Linked DNA regions of Chlamydomonas reinhardtii. The protein of the gene in region 1 interacts with the protein of each later gene in a pairwise test. Links are inferred from orthologs where the notes say so. Each region holds a gene or a part of one and is shown in the gene's direction. Other genes may lie near its edges. The genes, in order: CHLRE_01g023150v5 and CHLRE_01g030150v5.

Region 1 (8,155 bases):
CACCGTGTCCAGAGGGTATGAGAACGAGCCGCACAACCACAGATGCGTGCATGGGTGTGGTGCTGTGAACGTCACGTTTTCCCGGCATCGCTGGGACCGTCTCAATTCTAACCCCGACGCCACAAACCAGACTTAACTTGCCCGGCCCCCTGATGACCTGGTCCGTGCCCTGTCCCATTCCCCACACCTTATTTCTGCAGTTGGAACAACACCTGCCCCACCCATCCCTTACCCCCCTCCCTCAAACTCACCACAGCCCCACGAACATGCCGGCCGTGGAACTCAGCGCGTTGTTGAGCGCCTCCATGGCGTGTGCGATGGTGAGCGGGTCGCACACACACGCCTGGTCCGGGTCCACCGCCACGATGGGGTAGCTGGCCAGGTTGAGGCAGGTGGAGGGGCAGGTCACGGCGCGCGGCCAGCCGTTGCCGTCCGACACGGCCACGATGAGGTCGCCGCCGGCGGCCGCCAGCGCGGCGGGGTTTATGGACCAGCCAGTGGCGGCGCCGGTCACCCAGGCGCTGTACACACCCGCCATGGCGCCCTGGCGGCAGCGGTGGAGGTGGCGGCAGCGGTGGAGGTGGCGGCAGCGGCACGTCAAGCGGAGGCGGGTATCGGGCAAAGCGCGGGGCAAACAGGGTGGCGCAGGGGCGTCCCGGCGCCGAGGGCGCAGGTGGCGGGCCACAGCCGCTCCCTGGGCGCAGCTGGCTCGTGGACACGTACACAAGCACACACTGCCCCGCCCGCACCTGGTTCTGCTGCACCTTCTCCATGATGCGGTAGGCCACGTAGGCGTCCACCGCGAAGATGCCGCACCCCATCAGCAGCAGCACCAGCCACGCCACCTGCGGGGGAGCGCAAGGGCGGGAGGCACGATGTGGCGCGGGGCCGGTCAGCGACTACCAAGCCTGCGGGCGCCAACTGCAGCGCCGTGCTGCAGCACCCACGGACCACCTCCACGGCCAGGCTTGACTGTGCCGGGACAAAAGCACTTGGCCCCGCAGGCATCCAGCGGGTGCTACTGTCGCAAGAGTCACGCCCCGCCCCGCCCCGCCCCGCCCACCTGGATCCACCATGAGAAGCCCAGCAGCAGCACCACTATGCGGTAGATTTTACCGGTCTTGGCGTCATAGCCTGATGGGTCGAGCGACAAGGAAAGCAGGCGCGTTAGCGGCTCCTCCTTACGACAAGTTTACAACTCCATCTCAAGCATCGGTACACCAAAACATTTCACTACAAGACTACCACAGCAACTGGCGCCATTCCTATCAACCCCCTCTGGATTTCCTGGCCTTCGCAGTCCGCAATGACACGCACGCACCTTCGGTGTCTTGCTTGACCTGGATGATCTTGCGCCACAGGCCCACCAGGAAGTTGAAAAAGGCGAAGAGCATGTACACCGTCGAGGTGGCGATGATGGCCTCGTGCATGCGACCCAGGTCGTGCGCCGTCACGGTGGGGCCTAGGATCTCCAGCGCCCAGGTCACCTGGTTGTACATGTACGCCTGGGGGGCGGAGAGGAGCGTCGGGAAGAGAGCGTGGCCCGGTTGGTGAGGTAGGGGTCGGCGGGTGTGGGTGTGAGTGGGCCCACTGGGATGGGCCCGGTACATCCTGCACCCGGCGCCGCTTTGCTCCAAACTGCCCTGCTGGTCAGCACGCAGCCCGAGCTTACCGTGTAGTGGACCCTGCGTGCGACGGGGTGGAACAACCGGAGGCGGGATACCGAGCATTTCAATTGGCGGCAGGACTGGTAAGCAAGTTGGAGGCATGCGCTTGTAGAACCGCCTATCCCAGCCCCGCCCATGTCCCAATCCTACTTGCTGGTAGCAGCCTATATGGACGCTGCCAAATACGCCCAACGCGCTGGTTAGCGGGGTAGCCCATGTGTTGTTGCCGTGTTTGAGGAGGCGCGCTGCTACCATCCGCGTGGAGGATGGCGCTGGCGGAGTCATTTTCCCGCACACGCGCTTCCAGGCCCCACAGGGTGATATTTGTGTGTCCCGTCCTGCTGGCGGGCATTCTGGTGCCGCGAGTCCTCCCCCGAAACTTCTCTTGTGCAATTCTCTGCCAGACTCACCATATGCCCGTGCCGATGATGCCCATAAGCATACATGTTAAAGGGCCGAAGGGCACGTAGTAAACGACATCGCCCCAAAACATTTTCCAGGCCTGCCCCTAGCTTCCGCTTCCGCTCGGGCGTCACAGTACTACGGGCTATTGCAGTTGAAATTGTGACATTGTAGCTAGTCTACGAGCTGCACAAGAAGTAGAGTGTTTAGAGGAGACACACGAGCGAGTTTGACTGCCTTGAACGGATACGCTTGGCCGCATAAGCTGCTGATGTCATCAAATTGTACCAAAAGCGACTGTTGTCCGTGTGAAAGGCGGCAGATAATCAGCTGGGCAAGACTCGCCACCTGTGCTTGGCACGAACCCAGCTTGACAAGGGGGTTCCCACTATGAGTGCCTGGCATAGAGGCTGCACACGCCAACGCCGGGGATCACTCGCGGCTCCTCCAGCTTTGCGACTTCTCCCCTGCAGGTGCGTGCCCTGGGGTCGGCGGCACTAGTCATCTCCCCTCCCACAACCACGCACAAGGTAAGCAGCCCGGGGACACCGGGCTGCTGGGGGGGGGGGCGACCGCCGTGGCGTACAGCCTGATAGTGTCAGCAAGTAACGGGGAAGCGACGTCGCGCCCTGGAGGAGTGCCTGCCCTGACACTGCACTACACTGGGCATGTCTCACGGGCATGTCTCCGTCGACCACACATATGGTGGACGACGTCGTCGGCCATATATACAGGACGACGTAGTCATTGTATTTGTAGTGGACGACGTCGGGAGTATTTACACAGGACGCCGGCGACGGCCGTAGCACGCTACGTAGCTGTCCGGCCTGAATGCATGCGACGTGATGTCAGCCTGAATGCATTCAACGAGGTGTCCGGCGGCCATGCCTGGAATAAGTAATTCAAATTTAAGCACCTTGGGGTGTGGCAACGCGGTCAATTAAGGCTTCAGCGGCAATCGGCCGGGCCATGGCGGGAAATCGGGCTGCACATCGCTGACATGCCGCTGTATCGGGGAGATGCATACAGTATTGAGACACACACTCATACGCACACTTGTTCTTACCTCCGTGACGCTCCTTACACCTCGCTTTACCAAAACGTATTTGAGTTGACCAAATATGAGCGGCTTTGATGGTGCGCACCTCGCAGCTAGGCTTTTCGGCAGCACATACTGACTGAACACGTATTGCTTCCACGTATCGCAGGCGGTCGGGTGTATGTGAGCTACCAGGGGCAAGAGGCGCCTCGGGACCCAATTGAAGATGGCCCCGGTCTGCCTGACCGCGACATCGTGGAAGGCTTTAAGCAGTTCATCCAATCATATCAAATTGGAACAACCAGGGATGTGCAGGAGCGGCGACTCTACGCGTGAGTGGAGTTCTGCGCGTGCATTTGGCATGCCGCGGTAGCTCGGGAGCCGCGACAGCTCTCGCCAGAGCGCTGCATACAGGGATGCCAGTAGGCACTTGCCAGGCAACGGCCAGCTCATCAGCCGGGGTACAGCGGCTCATAGGGTGGTACATATGAAGGGCTTTGGCCGGCGTTTCCCCGCCCTCCGCCAACCGTTGCTCTCGCACGCCTTCCCCCCTCCCCCAATATGTCCACAGCGATGACCTTTATGAGCACCGCTCACACTTGCACGTGGACCTGAAGGATGTGCGCGCCGCGGCGCCCAAGCTGGCGGACGCGCTGGAGGAGCGGCCGTCGGATGTGCTGCCACTGGTGCGTGGAGGCCTTGACAGTGGAGGCGGGGTGCGCACAGGACAGACTGTGGTGGTGGTGGTGGTGGTGGTGGTGGTGGTGGTGGTGGTGGTGGTAGCGGAGAGCGCGCATTGTTGTTCCGTAAGGGTGCCGCGTCATGGCAGCGTTGCCTTCAGTTTGTAAGAGCTGGGGAGCGATCCGGGGGACCGTTGCGTGGAAAGGGAGAGAGGCCCAAGCTGTGTGCGGGGGCTGGGGGGAGGGGGAGGTAGCCCAGTACTGCCAACTGTCTGCACCTGTACTTGCACCGTGTGTGTGTGTGTGCTGCAGTTTGAGGAGGCTGCCCGCAAGGTGCTTCAAGACAAAATGGCCTCGGACGAGGACGGCAACCCCGCGGACGTGCCGGAGGTGCAGGTGAGGCAGGAGTCTCTTCACAGGGGGGCATGCAACTAGCCAGGGAAGTGGGTGAGGGCCGGGCTACCACCGGGCGGCGGGACAGGGCTGGGCCTGCATGCCGAGACACCACGGACCTGGAGAGGCAACGTACCCTGTCTAGGCAGCCGGTAGTGCCAAGTGCGTCTCTGGTGCCTCGCACCTTTGCCCCGCTCGTCCCGCCAAGTCGCCGCTGTCCACCCTTCCTCCCGCCTTTCCTCGGCCCGCCCCAGGTCCTGCTGTACAGCTCCATCCCGCTGGCCCAGTCCGCCGCCATGTCCATCCGCGACCTGGAGTCCAGCCGTGTGTCCAAGCTGGTGCTGCTCACAGGCATCATCACGGCCTCGTCCAAGCCCAGGGTGAGGCGCCGGGGCTGGAGCAAGCGGCCCGCCAGCGGGGGTGGGGTGGGGGGCCAGGGAAGCGGGGACGGTGATACCGTAAGTAGGCGGGCCAGGGCAACCCTGCGTGGCTGCATGGCTGCCATGCAATACGGTCGCCGCACCCATGCCCAAGCCTGTCCCTCCCTAATATCTATCGGTGCGCCTCCCCTGCCCCTGCAGCACAAGGCCACCTACCTGACGGTGCAGTGCAAGACCTGCCGCGGCACCAAGCGCGTGGCCTGCAGCGACGGCATGGGCGGCGCCTACGTGCCAAGCTACTGCGACCTGGCCAACAGGCGTGCGCCGGGCGCCGGCGGCGAGGACTGCGGCCAGAACCCCTACGTCATCCTGCCCGAGCAGAGCGACTTCGTGGATCAGCAGACGCTCAAGCTGCAGGTGCGGCGGTGCCGGTGGTGATGGGCGTGGTGATGGGGGTGGTGGCGTGGGAGGTGGTGTTGGCGGGGGCCTGGGGTTGTGGGCATTGGCCCGATCGAGCGGTCCCACGTCCTGCGGCCCGTTGGGGTGAGCGGGGGTGGTTGGACGTGGGCGGCTGACGTAAAATGGCGCACGCCAGTGAAGTGGGGTAACGTGGACAGGGCGCGGATGGGGAACGCGTGGCCCAAGAGTGGAGGCTGGAGGATGTTGCATTGGCGCAGCCGCTGACTGGCGCGTCCCCGCGCCCACACGCCCCCTGCCCCCTGCAGGAGAAGCCCGAGGACGTGCCCACCGGCGAGCTGCCGCGCACGGTGATGCTGGTGGCAGACCGCCAGAACTGCGGCGTGGTGACGCCCGGCACACGTGTCACCATTACCGGCATCTACTCAACCTTCAGGGTGGGTGTGGGGCATGGGTGGAGGGACTGGAGTTGGTGGCTGAGGTGGCTCGGAGGGTCGGCGCAGGCGGGGCTGCAGCACCCAGGGAGGACTTGTCAGGCCTGGGGGACCACAATGCACGAGTTGGCATCCGGTGTGGTGCCAACCCCATCCAAACCCACGCTGGCCCCTTGGGCGCCCACCACCTCTTCCCGCACCCAAAACACATGCACATACATGCTGTTAGCCTTAAGAACACGCACGCGAAATCACACCCACACCCCTTACCCCACGCAGGGCAAGGCCATGGACAAGGGCGTGACCACCCTGCAGCAGCCCTACATCCGGGTGGTGTCGGTCATGCAGGAGGCGGGAGACGCCCACAGCCGCTTCAAGTTCACGTGAGTGCGGCTAGGGGCACCGGGGTGCGTGGTGGGGTACCGGTGCGTCGTGCAGGGCCTGGGCCTTCCGTAGGGCGGCATGCGGGACGCAGGTAACGAGTTGCGTTCCAAGCGACGTCTCTGCCGTCCAACTCTCCCCCCCCTGGCAGCCTCGCTTCCCTCCCACCTCCTAGACGCATTACACATGGCTCAACTCGCCAACCCAACCCACCCTACACCGCTATGTAAATACACCCACCGCAGCAAGGAGGAGATCCAGCAGTTTGAGCAGTTCGCCAAGCAGGACGGGCTGCACGAGGAGCTGTTCGCGCGCATCGCGCCCAACATCTACGGCAGCGACGACATCAAGAAGGCCGTGGCCTGCCTGCTGTTTGGCGGCGCGCGTAAGGTGTGTGGGGAAGAAGGGACGGGGGCCGCTTCGCGTACGCAATAGTGAATCCAGGGTGTCAGATGACCCAATGGCAAGGGCTAGATGGGTACCGCAACGTCAGCGCTGCTCATGTTACCCATCTTTATCCCCCCGTCCCGCTGCGCCGCTCTCGCTCCCCGCCTGCGCCCGCAGCAACTGCCCGACGGCACGAACCGCCGCGGCGACATCAACGTGCTGCTGCTGGGTGACCCCTCCACCGCCAAGTCGCAGTTCCTCAAGTACGTCTCCCGCGTGGCGCCCATCGCGGTGTACACCAGCGGCAAGGGCTCGTCGGCGGCCGGTCTGACCGCCACCGTGGTGCAGGTGAGAGACTGGACTGCCGCGTCGGGACATGGGGATTCAGAAAGGTATAACACGGAAAGCTGTACCATGGAATTGTGCAAGGTCTGCTTCTGCTTCTGACTAGCATCCCATGCTAGAATTCCTTGATCTCCACATGCACGAAACGCCCACCACTCCTTCGCCACTCTTGCGCCTTGTTGCTTATACAGGACGCCAACAGCCGCGAATTCTACCTGGAGGGCGGTGCCATGGTGCTGGCGGACAACGGCGTGGTGTGCATCGATGAGTTTGACAAGATGAGGCCGGAGGACCGAGTGGCCATCCACGAGGTGAGCAAGGGGGGCTGGGGCAGGAAACTGGGAACTGGAAGGCGGAGACGGCGACTTGGGGCGCACGTGTGAGGTGTGGTGCTGTCGTGACGGACGTGTGCTCTGCCAACCTCAACAAGCCGCTCACAACTCCAACATGCACATACGGTACCTGTGCACACACTGCACACATGGTGTTGACCCTCCTCCGTCTTTGCACTTTCCAACACCCTCTGTAGGCCATGGAGCAGCAGACCATCTCCATCGCCAAGGCCGGCATCACCACCATGCTGCGCAGCCGCACCTCGGTGCTGGCCGCCGCCAACCCGCCCTCGGGCCGCTACGACGACCTGAAGACGGCGCAGGAGAACATCGACCTGCAGTCCACCATTCTGTCGCGCTTCGACCTCATCTTCATCGTCAAGGTGGGCGGCAGGGTTCACAGCAGGGCTGTGCTGGCATTCTCACGGCCTGGCAGCCGCCGGCTATTGTTGCAGCTATGCTTGCCTTGCAAGCTGAGAGCGCCATGGCTTAACGTCGATTTTCGTGCTGTAACTCCCAAGCACTGACTCAAACGCTCGACCTGGTGCCGCACACAGGACACTCGAGAGCACGACATGGCCATCGCCAAGCACGTGCTGGACAACCACCGCCTGGGCGCCGCAGCCGCGGCCAGCGCGGCCGGCGGCAAGGCCGGCGGCCACGGCGCCGGCGACGGCGACAAGGGCGGCGAGGCTGCTGACGTGGAGTTCCTGAAGCGCTACATCCACTACTGCCGCAGCCAGTGCAGCCCGCGCCTGAACGAGGAGGCCAGCAAGCGCCTGGCGGCCTTCTACGTGGAGATCCGCAACGAGGTGGGTTTTCGGCCTGCGAACTCTGGGGGTTGTGGGGTTGTGGTTGTTGTTACCACAGGACAGTGTGCGCAGCTTGGGCAGCCAGCCTCATACGCCGCCGGTGCAACAACTAAGCCTTGCATCACGTGCATGTGTAGCCAGCTCAACACGACCAACTCAACTCCGCACCCCGTTCCAAACCCGGTCCCGCCCCGCACACAGGCCCGCACACAAGCCGACGCCAACGACTCGGACACGCCGCCGGTGCCCATCACCGTGCGCCAGCTGGAGGCGGTGGTGCGCATCAGCGAGTCGCTGGCCAAGATGAGCCTGCAACCGGTGGCCACGCTGGAGCACGTCACGCGCGCCATCGAGCTGTTCACAAAGTCCACCATGGATGCCGTCAAGTCCGGCCTCACGCAGGGCGAGATGGGCGGCGAGCAGCAGGTGCGGGGGTGTCTGGGTATCGCGGGAGGGGTAGGGGTGGCCGGAGCCAGTCCCAGATGG
Region 2 (8,625 bases), about 850 kb from region 1:
GCCGGCTGCAAGCGTTAAGCTGTCGACAATAAGTAGAATGGCTGTACTGTTCACCATTCACTCGCGGGTTGTGGGCCTGGGCTACGCGATGGAGGCACTGTCATTGCGAGACCTGTATTGCTCGCCCCGACCTCGTTTGCTTTTAAGCTGCGACCACACCAGTGCCCAGCCCGTGTCTATAAACCCATGTGCAATCGTTAGATAAGAAAGCTTGAACGAATGGGCTGCGGGTCTAGTGTGCCTGTGGAAGCGGTGGACCAGGGTGACCAGCAGAAGCAGCAACAACAGCAGGGCGGAGCGGCTGCCAAGAATGGTGCGTTAAGCAGCGGAGTCTGTTGCGGCCCCCACAGCTAAGACGCATGTTGATGGCGCCCGCAGGCTCGGCTGCCGACAAGGCCGCGACCGACGCTGAGACACAAAAGGCAAAGACGACTCGTGCTCGTCGCCTGAGCTATATTTCGAACGACGCGAATGGGGCGGCGGTAAGCTCTTGTCGACCGTCTGCAGCGCGCTACGTCGATACTAAGCCCGCTTTGGCTTGCAGGTGAACGCGCCACCCGGCTCTGCTGCGCCTGCGGCTGCAAACCCGGGTGGCAAATCTGGCAACACGAGAGCCAGGCGTCTGTCCTACGTGACAAACGATGTAAGAACGCGGAGTATGTTTTTTCCGCATCGTCCCCTTTCTGACTCACATGTCACTCTCTGCTTGCAGCCCAACGCCTCGCCGGGCAACCTGAAGCTCAATGGCGAAGGGGAGGGTGGCGACGAGCAGGACATGGAGGGAGGGGACGAACCCGCTGTCCAGGGTCAGCTTGCTCCCGAGGTAAGGGGAAAGATGCGCAACCTTGGCATGGTGTTGAGGACCCTTAGCCTGAATGCCCAACGCTTTCGTCTTTACAGGAGCAGGAGCGCAGGACTCTGCGCGTTAACGTTGCATGCATGTCGCGCGCTGGTCGCGAGCCGGGTTTCAAGAAGACCAACCAGGACAATTGCTTTGCTTTTGAGAAGTACATCACCGAGGACCAGTCTCTGTTCGGTGCTATGGATGGTCACGGGCCACACGGTAAGGAGGCACTGGTATTGAGGTATTGTTCGCCAAGCAACGCAGCATGCCCTCGATGTTTGCAGGGCACCTGGTGTCTGGCTACGTCAAGCAGCACCTGCCGATAATACTCGTTAACCACCTAACGTTGGAAAAGGACGTGAAGAAGGCGCTGTCTCAGGGCTTCTGCGAGGTGGACCGGTCCTTGGGCAATAGCAGGATAGACTGCGAGTTCAGCGGCAGCACGGCCGTGGTCAGCTACCTGAAGGTGCGCGCGGGCATGTGATGGGGTCAGGGCTGTAGGTAAAGCAGTTTTGAAGGGTTTTTGAGGGCGTATAGCTACCGGGTGTGCGGCTGGGGTTGCGTTCAGCGGTCACTGACCACGACTGGCGCTGACCTGATCATATTGTCCCAACCTACAGGGCAAGACCCTGACGACAGCGTGGGTGGGTGACTCTCGTGGCGTGATGGGCCGCGAGACAAAGAAGGGCTGGGAGGCGGTGGACCTTACCAACGACCACAAACCCACGGCGCCGGAGGAGAAGGCGCGGATTCTCAAAGCGAACGGCCGTGTGGAGCGGTAAGCTAATCTCTAGTACAAGGACTGGCGGAGGTTATCCTTGTGCTCTTTATAATGAATCCCGCATGAAGCATGCGTAGGTGGGCAGCGGCCAACCATGTTAACATCACGGCCCTTCCCGCGCTGGTACAGGCTGGTGGACGAGATGGGCCAGCCCATGGGCCCCTACCGCGTGTGGCTGCAGTACGCGTGGATTCCGGGCCTGGCCATGAGCAGGGCGCTTGGTGATGTCCTGGCACACCAGTGAGTCCCGGGGCAAGTGGTCAATGCTCGATACCTGTTCTGTGCGTCACCGCTTTCCTGCCATGCATGGTTAGGAGGATGTAAAAGTTGCCCTTGCCTTGCGGGAGTGATTAGACGGTTGTTAGGTGCTAGAATGTGCCCGGTTCTATGAGTATACCACATGCCAAGACGGCAGGATTGGTGCACAGGACGTGCCCTGTTGGGAAGGTGTTAATGCAGGGTGTGTGGAACTCTTTTGACTCACAGGGTGGGTGTGACGTCGGAGCCGGACCACTCGACCATGGAGCTGACGCCGCAGGACAAGTTCATTGTACTTGCCTCGGACGGTGTTTGGGAGTTCATCTCGAGCAAGGAGGCGGTCGACATCGTGGCGCAGTACGAGAGCGCAGAGGAGGCGTGCCGCCAGGTGCGCAAGCGTGACCATGGTCGTGTCGCTGAAGTTAGTGCTGCGTTATGGTCTCAACCCAGGATAGAGATATTAACAATCTGGAACAAGACTTGTGGAAGCGCGTGGCGCGGTCCGGAGGACGGCGCCAGCTCCACTTCAAAAGGGGTTGCCAGCTGTCGCCATCGTATGATCTGCGACTGACTCTGCCCCTGTTCTGCCCTGTCCATGCCGCTACAGTTGGTGGACGAGGCCTACCAGCGATGGCTGACGGAGGAGGAGGGCGTAGTGGACGACATCACCGCCGTCGTGGTGCGCTTCGTCCACCCATAGTCAGGCCACGGGCGGGGAGCACGTGCGGCATGGCTCCCGCTGCCCCACACATGACGTATGGGGTAGCGTAGCTGCATGGACAGCCGAAGCAATGTGCCGCATGCAGGCGGCAATAAGGGTACGCACTGTGTGACTGGTATAATGCGCGCGTGGTAACAGACTAATCATGACGCGGGTGGCGCATGTAGTTCTGGTGCATACGCGGGTCCACCTCGGGTAATAAAGCGTGGCTCGACGAAGGACCGAAGTTGGCTACCTGGCAAACATGTCGTGTGTGTGGCTGTGCGAAAATCCAAAACACCTGCTGGTGCATGAACGCTCAGCGTGACGTGGGTGGAATTGGCAGGGTGAATCGGTGGGAGGGCACTAGTGGGGCCTTAGGGCGCATTGCGTGTTACGCCACCGCCTCGCATGCTAAAGGTTGGCTTTTGGCTGCAATCGCTTTGACAAGAAGTGACGCAATGCACATGGGTGCGCGCGTGTAGCCTGGTATGTGTAATGGGTATTTCCGTGCGTTATTGCCATCTCTCATGCCGCGGTTAGGGTTCGGGAGTTCGTATTGTTGCCTGGCCACTCCTGGCCTGGCTGTTTGTTTGTGATTGTACAGAACAGGAGCGCATAATGGATGCTGACTGGCACCAAAGGCCAAGCGGACGGATCAGATCCGTGCGGCGTGATATGAGGTAGATTGCTGAGGTGGATTCCGAATGCAAGACGGAATTTGTGTGCAAAGCCTGTGCGTGTCCGTGACTCCGTCACTCGATGGCTAGGGCAAGGGGGGTTGTAAATACCAGCCCAAATGAACAAAATCCTCTGGCCGCAACACTCCTCACTCCTACGGCCTACCGCATACTGTGCTATGCTTGCCAGCAAAGACCGCTAACCAGACACCGGCCGGCCTCAACCTGCGCGCCGGCGCCGCTTCTTGGGCGACGCCGTGCTGTCCTCCTCCACGTGGCCTTGCTCGCCCCATGTGCTCGCTCCCTCCGCTACGCACATGCACGCCGCAACTGGTGGCATTAGTTCCGCAACACTCGTCATTATTGGTGGCCCAGGGCAGGGGAACCCCTGGCCCAGGGCAAGCAGGCACAACCAGGGCAAGCGCACTTGGGACTTAAGCATACCCACATTATGTAGCCTGGTGTACATGCAAGCATTTCATGAGCATGCCGGCATGCCCTGTCTATGTAAAGACGGACCTGTCTATTTCAGGCGGCGCCGGCGGTGGTGGTGGTGAAGGAGGTGAAGGTGGACCTGTGTGACTAGGCCAAGGTCAGCATCGAGGCCGTGTTCAAGAACGGCCTGCGCGTCACCGATGGTGGGTTGGGCGGGTGCATGGTGTGCAAGCGACGTGTGGCTGGGCGCACGGCTGGGCGCTGGCGGCAGCAAAGGCGGAGACTGGCGGAGAAGCCTCCGGGACGGGAAAGGCTTGTTGGCATATTTGCATGCATATCCTTTTAAATTGTTTGACATGTATCTGCATATTAATTTATTACCAGCCGGGACTCCCAGCTGTTCACGATTTCACTTCCCAATCGCGTTTTGGCGCGAAGCCCCTCCTGTTAGTCCCACTCTCCTCCAGGTGCTTACACACTCAAATGCGCCTTGTCTTCGTCATCAATTAGGCAAATGACAAGTCCAGAGATAGCAGTGCGTCCTGTAGAGGCGATTCAGAAGCTCTACCAGCAAGCAGGCTGCCCCGCTGAGGCCGATGGTGACTGGGGCGTGGTAAAGTACTTCCAGGAAGCCGTCAATGGGCTGGGTCACGGCGAGGTGGGTTGAAAGTGCCCACCAAAACAACGCAAAAGACATGCGAGCTCCCTACGCGCCTAGGCTCGCTTATTCCAACGGCTCGAACTCACATCTTACAGATTCCGCGTCTTGACAAGCAATCGGCGGACCGCCTCCCCCACCACAGCCTCGTGCGCTTCACCGGCATGGTGAGCAGTTTTGGCGGGGTTCTGCAGTGGCAACTTCCTGGCGATTACCTTACGAGGGCAGAAAGGCATCTACGTTTGAGAAAATTACAAACAGCTTACTTACCCATCCGCAGGTGCAAGACTTGCTGAACCCAGAGTACTACGTCGGGGCCTTCCAGCAGCCGAGTGGGCAGTGGGTCACCTCGAAGTTCTGTGACCCGGACATGCCTGATGACGCGCCCCAATCCGCCTCGCCCATCATTTGGGAGCGCCGCCCGGTCGTGTTGGTGCCAGTCCCGGGCCTCAGCAGCTGGTCCCTTTCCGCGCTGCCGGCGGTGCCGGCCAAGGACGTACACGCGCCTGCTGCGATGGCCAACACCACCACGCTGGTGGCTCAGGCCCAGCCCCAGCAAGCTCAGCAGCAGCAGGCCCAACAGCAGCCCGCCCGTGCCAAACGTGAGCGTTCCTCTGATGCCGACGCGCAGCACGACAGCGTCGCAGCTGAGCTGCGCGTCGCTAGCACCGGTGGTGCGGCGGTGCTGTCTCCGCGCGCCGGCGCCAATGCCGCTGCGGCAGCTGCCGACGCTGCGGCTCCCGGCGCGGATGCGGGTGAGGAGAGCATGAGTCACGACACGGGGCTCAGTGAGGACCAGGGACCGGGCGGGGCCACTGCAGGCGCCGGGTCGCCGGGTGAGGCGGAGGGCGCTGCGCGCCCTCGTGTGCGCCGGCGGGAGGACCCTACTGCCGCGAGGGTTGTTGGCGACATCGAGGCCGCAAACGACCGCGGCGCACCTTTCCCCGGGACGTCGGCTCCCGCGGGCCCCGCGGGGACAGGCTGTGACACCTGCGCTGGCGGGCACGGTTGCGCGCAGCACCCGGCCGGTGCGAATGCGGGGGCACAGCAGGCGGCGACGCCAAGCGAGGTGCCCGGCAGCTGCATCGTGTATGTGAGTTACTTGCCGAGCAAAGCTTGAATATGTCAGTGATAGCAACCGCACTTTGCCGATGCGAGAGCAAGTTTGTGACTCATGTGGGACTGCGTGCTCCAATGCAACACACAGTGCAAGCAGTACCAGTCAAGCCGTACCCCTCCCGGCCAGCATCACTTTGTAAACCCCCACGCTTCCCGCCCTACCCTACCTCACCTGCAGCTGTACGACAACGCGCCTGCGCTGCCACTGCACGAGGTGGTTGAGGTGGTGGGCGTGCTGAGCCACGTGCCGCAGCTGGCGCAGCTCGAGTACGACAACCAGGACCCTCACCTGGCGCAGGTGGGTTCCCGGGGCTTGGCGTAGGGCTTTCAGTTGGGCTAGGGCTTTGGCTTGGCTTTGGCTGGGCCTTAGTGAGGCCTGCGGTTTGCGGGTTGGGGGCTCAGCGACGCCCCGCGTACCATACTCCAGGCTCCTGGTGGAGCGCGGTTGGTGATGAACGTGCATCCAGACTGCAGCCACGCCGTCACTGATGATGAGATACACGCCGCATGCCTCTGCAGGAGCTGGCGTCTCTGGGTCTCGGCAGCGAAGGCGTCGGCCGCAGCGTCAGCGGCACCGGGGGCGATGCTGCCATGGGCGAGGCGGCCGACCGGGGCGTGCTGGCGGCACAGGGCGAGCGATTGGCGTTTGAGGCTATTCGGGCCGCCCACCCGCCCACCAGCAAGGTTGGTCTGCGGCAGGCAGCGCGCTTGTTTGCACGCCCACTTACTTGGACCCTGTCCGCTTGGGCGCCTCACCTGCGGTCTTCACGATCAGCAATGAAAGAGCGCTTTTTACCACCATAGCTTGTGACGGGGTCCAAGTGTGACGGGGACCAAGCGCAGGTGACGGCTAACCCGGTCCGCCCGCCTTGCGTTCCTGCTGCCAATGCCGCCACGCAGGTGATGCGGCTGCACGCAATCCTGGTGCGCCGCCAGCCCAACCTGGTTCCGGCTGCCACCACCGCCGCCGCTGCCTTAGCCTCAGCCGCCGCTGCGCTTGCACCTGCCGCAGCCGCCGAGGCTGCCGCCGCCACGACGCCTGCCGCCGGCAGCGCTGACACGGCGGCGCGGCGGGCGCGCGCTTTGGCGCTGCTGCGCTGGGCTCTGGGCGGCGACAGCCTGGCTGCCGAGTACGTGCTGCTGCAGCTGCTGTCGCGCGTGGTCAACCGCGGCGACCCCAACGCATTGGGGCAGCTGGCGCTCAACATCAGCAGGTGGGCGGGTGGTTGGGCGCCGTCGGAGAGCTGCAATGTGCACTTTTCCGGGGTGGGGCGAGGAGAGGCACGTATTAGGGTAGCGGGGGCAGTGCATGGGGGCAAACTCGGCAAAGAGGATAGGCAAAGCCGGGCGTATAGGTGTGGGAAATGGACGGGAATGTCAGGGTACTGCGCCGACACGACACGGGTCCCGGATGTAACCTTGCGTTGCAGGTGCCCTGGCGCCGTCACCAGCGCCACTAGCGCCGCCAGTGCCAGTGCGCCGCCCGCCACCGCTGCCAGTGCTGTTGGCTCGGCAGTGGCGGCGGCGGCGGCGCACAGCTCCCCCGCGCTGGCGGCTGACCTGCTGGCGGGCCGCGGCGTGAGCGGCTTCGCGGCGGCGCTGCAGGCGGCTGTGTCGTGCATGGTGCCGCTCAGTGTGGCGCTGCCGCTCAGCGTGGAGGGCTGCAACAGGTGGGAAGCGGCTCGGCAGGGCCTGGGAGGGCCGGAGGGGCGTTCACATGAGAAGCAACTGCGATGCTGTATGAGCGCGGAGGAGAGGGACATGGCCTTGATGTTGACATTCACCCTCAAACAACGGACCCTACGCCCCTTCCGCGCAGCCTGTCCTGGTCGCCAGTGCGCGACGTGTCCCGTGAGCGCACCGCGCCCTCGCCGCTGCAGCTGGCTCCGGGCACTGTGCTGCTGCTGGATGAGACCGTCATGGCGCCTGGCCAGCTGAGCAGCCAGGGCGTGGTCAGCATGCAGGTGGGCAACAGTGGGGCGGTGAGAGGGGGTACGGGTGTGCAGCAGCGGAGAACGCCTGGACTGGGGTTGGGCTTGCGTGCTTCTGGGAAACGTAGTTGTAACACCTTCGCCGCCCCTGCGCCGGCTCCGTGTGCTCTGCCAGCCTGCCCTGCCCTGCCCGCTGTTGCTTCGTACCAAGCGCTGCATTGCCCGAAGACTACTCTGTACGCGCCCCGCACACCATTACGTCCACATCACCCTTCGGCGCTGCCCTTCCTCACCTGCCTCACCTACCCCCAGGCGCTGATGACGCTAGCTCGGCAGCAGGAGCTGCTGTACGACTTCGAAACCTTCCAGCACCCCGTGCCGCTGGACCTGCCGCTCATCGTGCTCACGCAGGGCAGGTGCGGGACCAGGACCAGCTGTGTCCCCGGACTCCCAGCGCAGTCGTGGGGCAATGGCGGTGTGGGGCGCAGCAGGGGGGCGATGGCTTGGCGATTTGGTTGCAGCATGGCCGTATCAAGCTGTCGAGGTGTTAGCCTGTGGTTGCTGGGAGGGAAGCTGCGAGGTGTGGGGTGTTGGCCCGTCACCCAGCACCACCTGCAAGGTTCAACAGTTCCACGGTGGTTGCACCATGCTGACCGAGCTCTTGCGCCACCACCCATCCTGTGCAGGTCGCTGCTGCGCGACTGCTTGCCGCTGCGGCTGCCGCTCACCGCCACGCAACCCTTCCCCTCCGCCGAGGCCGTGCTGGCCTCCGGCGGCCGCCCGCCCGCCGCCGCCAGCCCCGCCACCAGCCCGCCGTCCAGCTTCGGTGGCGCAGCAATCGAGCCCGCCGCGACCCCCGTGGCGACTGCCAACGTGTCCATGGGTGACGGCGCTGCCACCGCTTCGGCGGCGGCGGCGGCTGACGTGGATCTGGCGGCGGTACGGTCGTACCTGGCGGCGGCGCGTGCCGAGCAGGGGTATGAGCTGGCGGAGGGCATGGCGCAGGTGCTGGAGCAGTGGTTCGTGGGCCAGCGCCGCGCGGCGCAGGCGCATCAGCAGGGGCAGGGGCCGCAGCAGGGGCAGGGTGGCGCGGCGGATGGCGGCATGACTCCGGAGGAGTTCCATCTAAAGCTCACGGTGAGAGGGTGATTAGTAATGGGTGTCTGCCGCGGTAATCCGGTCTCTGTTAGGCAATGAAACCCGCCCGCGGCCTTGCGCC

Evidence for each region.
Region 2: the proteins of CHLRE_01g023150v5 (region 1) and CHLRE_01g030150v5 interact in binary tests that used the Arabidopsis thaliana proteins (3 or more experiments, as listed by UniProt). The link is inferred for Chlamydomonas reinhardtii from reciprocal best matches to the Arabidopsis thaliana genes MCM5 and ETG1.

What each region holds. Positions count from the first base shown.
Region 1 is NC_057004.1:3,590,930-3,599,084, reverse strand, and holds the start of CHLRE_01g023150v5 (uncharacterized protein), read left to right. Parts: upstream 1-2,969; 5' UTR 2,970-3,190; coding exon 3,191-3,206; intron 3,207-3,277; coding exon 3,278-3,440; intron 3,441-3,679; coding exon 3,680-3,794; intron 3,795-4,100; coding exon 4,101-4,184; intron 4,185-4,435; coding exon 4,436-4,561; intron 4,562-4,762; coding exon 4,763-4,978; intron 4,979-5,286; coding exon 5,287-5,415; intron 5,416-5,691; coding exon 5,692-5,795; intron 5,796-6,038; coding exon 6,039-6,183; intron 6,184-6,357; coding exon 6,358-6,528; intron 6,529-6,716; coding exon 6,717-6,836; intron 6,837-7,054; coding exon 7,055-7,240; intron 7,241-7,414; coding exon 7,415-7,669; intron 7,670-7,870; coding exon 7,871-8,095; intron 8,096-8,155. Other genes in the region: CHLRE_01g023200v5 (uncharacterized protein), read right to left, coding at 252-544, 750-845, 1,064-1,134, 1,322-1,505, 1,673-1,685, 2,078-2,160. UniProt on the Arabidopsis thaliana protein: Probable component of the MCM2-7 complex (MCM complex) that may function as a DNA helicase and which is essential to undergo a single round of replication initiation and elongation per cell cycle in eukaryotic cells.
Region 2 is NC_057004.1:4,442,883-4,451,507, reverse strand, and holds the start of CHLRE_01g030150v5 (uncharacterized protein), read left to right. Parts: upstream 1-4,065; 5' UTR 4,066-4,212; coding exon 4,213-4,356; intron 4,357-4,454; coding exon 4,455-4,523; intron 4,524-4,636; coding exon 4,637-5,449; intron 5,450-5,653; coding exon 5,654-5,773; intron 5,774-5,994; coding exon 5,995-6,159; intron 6,160-6,375; coding exon 6,376-6,689; intron 6,690-6,905; coding exon 6,906-7,145; intron 7,146-7,294; coding exon 7,295-7,439; intron 7,440-7,718; coding exon 7,719-7,822; intron 7,823-8,092; coding exon 8,093-8,543; intron 8,544-8,625. Other genes in the region: CHLRE_01g030200v5 (uncharacterized protein), read left to right, coding at 220-313, 379-482, 545-643, 713-823, 901-1,063, 1,129-1,310, 1,465-1,622, 1,755-1,865 and 2 more. UniProt on the Arabidopsis thaliana protein: Associated component of the MCM complex that acts as a regulator of DNA replication. Binds to the MCM complex during late S phase and may act by promoting the disassembly of the MCM complex from chromatin. Required for sister chromatid cohesion.